Linked DNA regions of Mus musculus. The protein of the gene in region 2 interacts with the protein of the main gene of each other region in a biochemical or structural test. Links are inferred from orthologs where the notes say so. Each region holds a gene or a part of one and is shown on either strand. Other genes may lie near its edges.

Evidence for each region. The genes of interacting proteins can lie anywhere in the genome.
Region 1: the proteins of Map3k11 (region 2) and Mapk8ip1 form a complex in vitro, tested with the Homo sapiens proteins (2 studies listed by BioGRID). The link is inferred for Mus musculus from reciprocal best matches to the Homo sapiens genes MAP3K11 and MAPK8IP1.

Annotation. Positions count from the first base shown.
Region 1 is NC_000068.7:92,384,204-92,387,847, reverse strand, and holds part of Mapk8ip1 (C-Jun-amino-terminal kinase-interacting protein 1), read left to right. Parts: intron 1-212; coding exon 213-294; intron 295-401; exon of another isoform or gene 402-464; coding exon 465-1,277; intron 1,278-1,409; coding exon 1,410-1,485; intron 1,486-1,880; coding exon 1,881-2,053; intron 2,054-2,325; coding exon 2,326-2,435; intron 2,436-2,584; coding exon 2,585-2,701; intron 2,702-2,853; coding exon 2,854-2,924; intron 2,925-3,025; coding exon 3,026-3,124; coding exon of another isoform or gene 3,125-3,209; exon of another isoform or gene 3,210-3,426; coding exon 3,427-3,499; 3' UTR 3,500-3,644. UniProt on the Homo sapiens protein: The JNK-interacting protein (JIP) group of scaffold proteins selectively mediates JNK signaling by aggregating specific components of the MAPK cascade to form a functional JNK signaling module. Required for JNK activation in response to excitotoxic stress.
Region 2 is NC_000085.6:5,687,679-5,692,035, reverse strand, and holds the start of Map3k11 (mitogen-activated protein kinase kinase kinase 11), read right to left. Parts: upstream 2,906-4,357; 5' UTR 2,770-2,905; exon of another isoform or gene 2,560-2,769; 5' UTR 2,524-2,559; exon of another isoform or gene 2,348-2,523; 5' UTR 1,790-2,347; coding exon 1,048-1,789; intron 1-1,047. Other genes in the region: Pcnx3 (pecanex-like protein 3), read left to right, coding at 3,887-4,039. UniProt on the Homo sapiens protein: Activates the JUN N-terminal pathway. Required for serum-stimulated cell proliferation and for mitogen and cytokine activation of MAPK14 (p38), MAPK3 (ERK) and MAPK8 (JNK1) through phosphorylation and activation of MAP2K4/MKK4 and MAP2K7/MKK7.

The DNA.
Region 1 (3,644 bases), on a different chromosome or scaffold from region 2:
AGGGTTGTCTCCAAGCCAGCAGGCCTGTGGGGAGGGTGCTAACTTCCCACCCTGCCTGCCTGCTAGAGGATGGTTGGCAGAAAGGCCTTTGGCAAGGCAAGATGGGGTGGGAACAGCCTAGGGATGGCCTGATGGGGGCAGGACCAGGGCCTCCCTGTGCCGGGCACTGCTGACTACTGCTTCTTCATAAGAGCCTTTTGTTCTCTGCATAGGACACGCTGAATAATAACTCTTTAGGCAAAAAGCACAGTTGGCAGGACCGTGTGTCTCGATCATCCTCCCCTCTGAAGACAGGTAAGTCAGGCCTCTCTCCCCAAGCTGGAGACCCAGCAGTCTTCACCTGGCTCACCTGGGCTGAGGTCATCTGGAAGCCAGTGGCTGGCTGCAGAGGACAGTTGGGAAGAGGAGGGGACAGGTATCTGGACAGAGGTTCTGCCCTCAGCACCCACCTGCCTGTCCTCCAGGAGAACAGACGCCTCCACATGAACACATCTGCCTGAGTGATGAGCTGCCACCCCAGGGCAGTCCTGTTCCCACCCAGGACCGCGGCACTTCCACCGACAGCCCTTGTCGCCGAAGTGCAGCCACCCAGATGGCACCTCCAAGCGGTCCCCCTGCCACTGCGCCTGGTGGCCGGGGCCACTCCCATCGAGACCGAATCCACTACCAGGCAGATGTGCGGCTCGAGGCGACTGAGGAGATCTACCTGACCCCAGTGCAGAGGCCCCCAGACCCTGCAGAACCCACCTCCACCTTCATGCCACCCACGGAGAGCCGGATGTCAGTTAGCTCCGATCCAGACCCTGCCGCTTACTCTGTAACTGCGGGGCGGCCACACCCCTCCATCAGTGAAGAGGATGAGGGCTTCGACTGCCTGTCATCCCCAGAGCGAGCTGAGCCACCAGGTGGAGGGTGGCGGGGAAGCCTCGGGGAGCCACCACCGCCTCCACGGGCCTCACTGAGCTCGGACACCAGCGCACTGTCCTACGACTCGGTCAAGTACACACTGGTGGTGGATGAACATGCCCAGCTTGAGTTGGTGAGCCTGCGGCCGTGCTTTGGAGATTACAGTGACGAAAGCGACTCTGCCACTGTCTATGACAACTGTGCCTCTGCCTCCTCGCCCTACGAGTCAGCCATTGGTGAGGAGTATGAGGAGGCCCCTCAGCCCCGGCCTCCCACCTGCCTCTCAGAGGACTCCACCCCGGATGAGCCTGATGTCCACTTCTCTAAGAAGTTTCTGAATGTCTTCATGAGTGGCCGCTCTCGTTCCTCCAGTGAGTCGGTGAACGGGGGGAGCAGTGTGGGAACCTGAACAGGACCTCACACACCACATAGTCTGCCTGACAGCAAGACAGAGCTTTCTACCTGCTCTGAGCCACCTCCTCCAAACTATTGCCTTCCCACAGGTGCTGAGTCCTTTGGGCTGTTCTCCTGCGTCATCAATGGGGAGGAGCATGAGCAAACCCATCGGGCTATATTCAGGTGAGGGCTGCCCCCTTCCTTGCCTCTGCCAGCTCATCACTGGCATCCCCTCAGCTGCTGGGGGACCATACCCTCTTGTAGGAACTCAGCTTAGTGACAAAGTGCTGAGGTGCCGTGAACTATAGGTGCTAGGACTATACACCTAACCTGGGTAGGGGTCGGAGAGATGCCCACCCTACATAGAACCTATGTACCCTAGGCAAGCTGCTCACTTTCATTTAAATTTCTTAAGGCCTAGGCTCCCTTTCTCCCTGGCCCCTGGGTTTTTGGATAGGAGTGTCACGTGTTCCTTCAGAGTCGGCACTGTGACGGGCACATGGGTAATCTGCAAACGTCAGCAGCTCAGGACCCCAGACTGGGCCTGGCTGCAGCACCTCCCGTGCCCTTGGGGACAGGTTTGTGCCTCGGCATGAAGATGAACTTGAGCTGGAAGTGGATGACCCCCTGCTGGTGGAGCTGCAGGCAGAAGACTATTGGTATGAGGCCTATAACATGCGCACCGGAGCCCGCGGGGTCTTCCCTGCCTACTATGCCATTGAGGTCACCAAGGAGCCTGAGCACATGGCAGGTAGTACGCTTCCCCCGGTCTGGTCTTACCCACCCCTGCCATCTGCCTGCCAACTCGCTGCCAGTGAACACACACCCCAGGTCTTAGGGAGAAGAGGAGAGGTCATTTCAGTTCCACTTCACAGTTAGTGCCCCGCCAAGTCAGGGCCTGTGGGGATGGTGGCATCGTCGTCTGCTGCCTGAGTCACTCTTCATGCTCCTCTCTCCTTGGCTCAGCTCAGAGCCCCTTGCTGATGGCTCTCTTAGACTCCTCCTTGTATGCTTGCTTTCCAGCCCTTGCCAAAAACAGCGACTGGATTGACCAGTTCCGGGTGAAGTTCCTGGGGTCTGTCCAGGTTCCTTATCACAAGGGCAATGATGTCCTCTGTGCTGCTATGCAAAAGGTACCCACGTTTGGATCCATGCTTCTTCCTGGGGGGTGGGGGAGCCTATTCTCAGCCAGCCCACACTATTGGGGAAAAGGATACAGGGATCTGGAGGCTGTGCTGTGACACAGTGAGACAGCTTCCAACAGAAGCCCATCCCTCCACAGATCGCCACCACCCGCCGGCTCACCGTGCACTTTAACCCGCCCTCCAGCTGTGTCCTTGAGATCAGTGTCAGGGGTGTCAAGATAGGCGTCAAAGCTGATGATGCTCTGGAGGCCAAGGTGACTTCCTTCAAGCCTCAGCCTTCTTGCCTATGGGCATCTCCTCCCCCTTGGTCTCTTGCCTGCTGTGTGAGCCTAACCCCAGACACCGCATTGTCTCTCCTGCCTACTTCCTACCAGCTGACTTCTTGCTTCTCCCATCACTCCTGTAGGGAAATAAATGTAGCCACTTCTTCCAGCTAAAGAACATCTCTTTCTGTGGATACCATCCAAAGAATAACAAGTGAGTACAAGGAGCAGTCATGAGAGTCCCATTGGACATCTTCAGACATGGTGGGTGAGTAGGGCTCAGAATCTTATCTCACAGATGCCTGCCTTCCACAGGTACTTTGGGTTTATCACTAAGCACCCTGCTGACCACCGGTTTGCCTGCCATGTCTTTGTGTCTGAAGATTCCACCAAAGCCCTGGCGGAGTCTGTGGGGTACGTGTGTACGTGTGTGTGTGTGTACGTGTGTGTGCACGTGCTGTTTTCATGCTCAGTTGTCAGCATCACCCCTGCCCTCTAGTTCTGGAAGCCCCAATCCTGGAAGAGGCTGGGAGGTCCCAAGAAGCCCAGGCTCTGGACCACTCCTTGTTGATTAGCCACTGGTCCTCTTCCCCACTTGGCCCTTTCTCTTTGGGCAGTAACTGCCCAGAGGACAGTTAAGCTGTCCCCAGCCCCGGATCTCCCTTGTGGAGCCTGGGATGAGGCTCCTGGTCACCCCCATGTCCCCCACTTCCCAGGCGTGCATTTCAGCAGTTCTACAAGCAGTTTGTGGAGTATACCTGTCCTACAGAAGATATCTACTTGGAGTAGCAGCACCCCCACTCTCTGCAGCCCCTCAGCCCCAAGCCAGTGCAAGGACAGCTGGCTGCTGACAGGATGTGGTACTGCCACAAAAGAATGGGGGAATGAGGGCTGTTGGGTCGGGGGGGCCGGGGTTTGGGGAGAGGCAGATGCA
Region 2 (4,357 bases):
TCTGCTGCTGCTTTCCTTTGGCCCCTGTTTTACAGTAGCTGAGGCCAAGATGCTCAAAATGTCCGTGCTGATGCCCCTAAGAATCTCTGCACTCTCCTGTCACGCAGGACCATGTCCACTACATTTCCTACTGTCCCCAGCCCATGCCCTCTGCTCCAGCAGACCCAGGTCCCGCTGTCTCCACATTGCTGACCTCTGCCTCTGAGCCTGCACTGTGGTCAGGCCCTGCCCAGACACCCACCCAACCAAGTACTTCACTAAGTGCTGCCTGTTTTGGACTGGCTTGAAGCCTGCCCACTTCAGGAAGCTGTCTGAACCTGTCACCAATTTTTCCTGGGCCTATGACAGGCAGCGAATGGGAGTCCGAGATAGTGAGAGATGGAGTCTCCCTTCATATTTGCATCCCTGGCCTGGGGGACCCCTGCTTGCTGGGCATCCTGGGTCAGGGCTTCTGAAGGTCCTTAAGCTGCTCTGGTCTCATTGTTCCCATTCTAGGGAGGCTGAAACTGAGGTTCTGAGGTGAAATAATCGGCCGGAGAACATGTAGGCAGGAAAGAGTGGGATGGAACAGCCTTAGTCTCTGAGCAGGGAGGAGGGTCTTCCCTGCTGAGATCTCTGTCCTGAAGGAGCTGCCTATGGGAGAGGGAGGGAAGCAACACCACGTTTGTAAATCTCGGAAGGGGAAGGCTGGAGGAGCAGCTTCCAGAAGACTTCCCTGAGGTGGTGACCACGGTAAAGCAGGGTGCTGAAGGGCCGCCTGAGAGAGCTCAGTTTTGAAAACTTGTCAAAACTTCAGCTGAAGACTGGGACTAGGGACTCCCAGGACAGAGGCAGAACTCTGCCAGGTTCCGGGGATTCCTGTTTTGGGGGTCACTGATAGGCCACGGGTATTCCCTGGACATCTAATACTCCTCTCAGGAAGGAGCTTGTGAGGCCAGCATCTCCCTAACTAGGCTCAGCTGAGCTAGGAGACGTGTGCACCTGGGCCTCGGCTGGGCCGTGCTCCGAGCCTCCCCGTGCCCATGCTTCATGCCCCTGGAAACTCACTGTTGTTGGACTTCAGGTCTCGGTGTATCACAGGCACCAGAGCCTCACAGTGCAGGTAGTGCATTCCTCGGGCAATCTGCACAGCCCAGTTGACCAGCACATGGGGGGGCACACGCCGACCAGCCAGGGCCCGGCTAAGAGGCCCACCAGCTGCATACTCCATCACCAGGCATAGGTTTGGCTCCTCCAGGCACACAGCTTTGAGGGCAATGATGTTGGGATGGGCCAGCATGGCAAAAAGCCGGGCCTCCTGTCGAACACTCTCAGCTGTTACACTGATGTCCTCATCAGGGTCCTGTCGGGCTGCCTTCACAGCCACCAGCTCCCCTCGCCAGCTGCCACGGTAGACCTTGCCGAAGCCACCGATGCCGATCACCTCCTCCAGTCGCAGCTCCTGGAAGCTGGCCACCTCACAGGGGGGTGGGCCTCCACCCCGAGATACATAGTTGGATGGAAAAATGCCCACCTGGCCACCCACCTGGCCCGCCCACCAGCCCTCATCTCCTGAGATGGCTGCATCCCTGGACAGCACCTCCACACGGTCGCCCTTCCTCAGGGCTAGTTCGTCCTGCCCATTGGGCTCATAGTCGAACAGGGCTGTCCAGACAGGATTGGCATAAGCTGCTGTTGCCTTCGGAGACCCCTCCGGCCGGACTCCACCGGTACCCCCGCCGCCCCCACTGCCACTGCCGTTCCATGACCCCAGCGGGCTCTTGAGGAAGAGGTTCTTCAAGGGCTCCATGGCAGGGAGCCGGCGTTGGAATGTGTGGGGGACCTTCTTCGGGTGCCCGTGGTATCCACCCCCGCTGGCTTGTGAGGCCCTAGAGCCGGAACCTGGGCATCCGGGCCCTGGCCCTCAGCCCCAGACCCACGCCTCTCTGGGGAGCCAGGAGTGTCGCCTCCCGGCCCCCCGCATCTCGGGCTTTTGGAGGAGGGCACCAAGGGCAGTGTGGTCAGGCTGGAGGGGTGGGGCCCACTGGCCTCCGGCGCCTCACCATGGCTGAATTGGAGCAGCAGAGTCCCTCAGTTCCGAAGTAGTCCTGGGAACCTGGCTTCAGCGCCCGCCTACCGTAAGGTGGGGCCTGCCAGGGTCAGCGCCCGGACTCTGGTTGTTGTCTCCAGGCACAAGAGGTAAGAGAAAGTCCCCAGTTGAGCCGAAGCTACCTCTTCTTGGGCTAGTGCCTTGGGCCCCGACAGCTCCGACCCCGGTCCCTTCTTCCTCCTCCCTTTGTACTTTGGCCCCGGGGGCGGGAGGCAGAGGTGGAGGGTGGAGTTTCACTTTTTTCCGCTCTTCTCCCTCCTGCAGGAAACAGCATCAGATGACGTGGGCGGGTTGCACCGCTCCCCTCCCGGAGGCTCCCGGCAGCTGTGCACGGGAGTTCCCGGGGAGGTTGGCCAAGAGAGGTAGAAGGCGGGCCAGGTAGTTCCTCCCGCCTCCCCCGCCCCCAAACACACCGGCACAACTCTAAGCCTTACGTTAGGTGCTCCTCTGCTCACGGTCGAAGTGGATCTCTGCAAAGACAGAGAAGAATCCTTGTGTCTGAATTCTCATCAGCCAAATCACCCTTGTGATTGCCTCAAAACCAAAATCTGGTCTTGGCTACGAAGTTGCAGAGCTCTTTAAGATTCGTTCTTTCCATATATGAAATAACAAGATACCCTGCTTTTCAGTGCTAGAGGGGGATGTGAACAGAGAAGTTTGGGACTTCAAAATCGGCTTACACTTGAAGCTCTTGGAACCATTTAAAATTATCTTCCTTTCACCCGAGAGGCAAAAACCTGAAACTGTCGTTCAGAACTTTGCCCGGGATTAGATTCAGAGTTGAAGGGCCTTCAACAACCTCTTCGTTAGTTCATCACTTGTCCTGTGTCTGTTACTTTAAGAAAGCCTATGTCATCCTGTTCGACTACTCAGGCCTGATCAGGATCACTCTCTGCTTCGGCTAAGCTCTGACCCGGAAGTAGAGGCGTAAGCCAAGCGACAACCATGATTTACGGTCTCGCACTAAGGAGAGGCGGCCCAAGTCGGGGGTGTGACCCGGTAACGCAAACTGGAAGTAGCCGTGAGGAGTCCCATTCTCCAGCTTTTCCCCGCCTCCTGTAACGCATTGGAAAAGCTTTGCGCCAGTCATCAAGTCGTTACCCAATGGCGACTCACCCGGCCGTCCCATATTTTGGTGGCTCTAGAATTTGACTGCGCGCGCGCCTAAGATACCTCTGCATCCCGTCACTTCGCTACTTCTCCGCGCTTGCGCACTTCTGCCGCCAGGTTTTCCTTTTCCGGGTCCCAACAGGTTCTAACGGGCGCATGCGCCAGTGCAGGCTGGCAGCTCGCGGCTCCTTCTTCCGGCCTCCCCTTTGCGCCGGCACCGGTAGAAGCGGGGCGAACGCAGAGCCCCAAGCGAGTGACCTGCGACCCCGGAAGTGGACCTCAGGGTCCCAAGGATTTCTCCGGTCCGGAGCCAAGGGACCTATCACTGGCACTCCGAGAGCACCTATTCCACGCCCACCTCTGGATGCCGCCGACGGGTGCCCAGCCCTTGCCCTGCGCCTGCTTTCAGGCTCGGCGCTTTACAACAGTTCTGGGCCACCGGAGGGGGCCCAGGCCCCGCCTCTGATGCAGTCCCACCCCAGTATCCCGGCCTGATCCGCTGACTGCCTGGGCCGGCCCCGCCCCCTGCCTGTGCCCTCACCCTACCAATCCCCTCCCCCGTCTGGGGGAGGCCATGGCGTGAAATCTAAGTCGGACCCCGGGACCCTCGGGCGCCAGCGGGGCATGGGCCGGGGGCCGCCCCCATGAGGGTCCCGGGAGGAGGGCGTGCGCAGCAGCGGCTGGGCCATGGGGTCTCAGGTGTTGCAGATCCTGCGCCAGGGGGTGTGGGCCTCGCTCACTGGGGGATGGTTCTTCGATCCGCATCAGAGCACCTTCTCCAACTGCTTCCATCTCTATGTCTGGATCTTCTTGCTCATCTTTCCCTTCTTGCTGTACATGGTGAGAGGCTGCCACCACCTGTAACTATGGCGAGAGGGAGTGTAGTCTGGAGGGATGGGCATCTTGAGTCCTGGGGCGTGGAGTGAAGCGAGTCACTGTAGAGTTCACTGTAGAGTTTACTTTGGTTTTATATAGAGGAAAGACCAAGTCTTTTCTGCATGGAGTGACCTTGAGCGCCTCATTTAATCTACCCGGTTAAACAGAGGGCTACCCCTAACAGGGCTCTTTGTACTGTTGCATGAAGGGGTGATGAAGTTTTGTAAACCGATGAATCCTAGTTCTTTACAGTGGTGGCAGGTACACCCTCAAGGGAGCAAG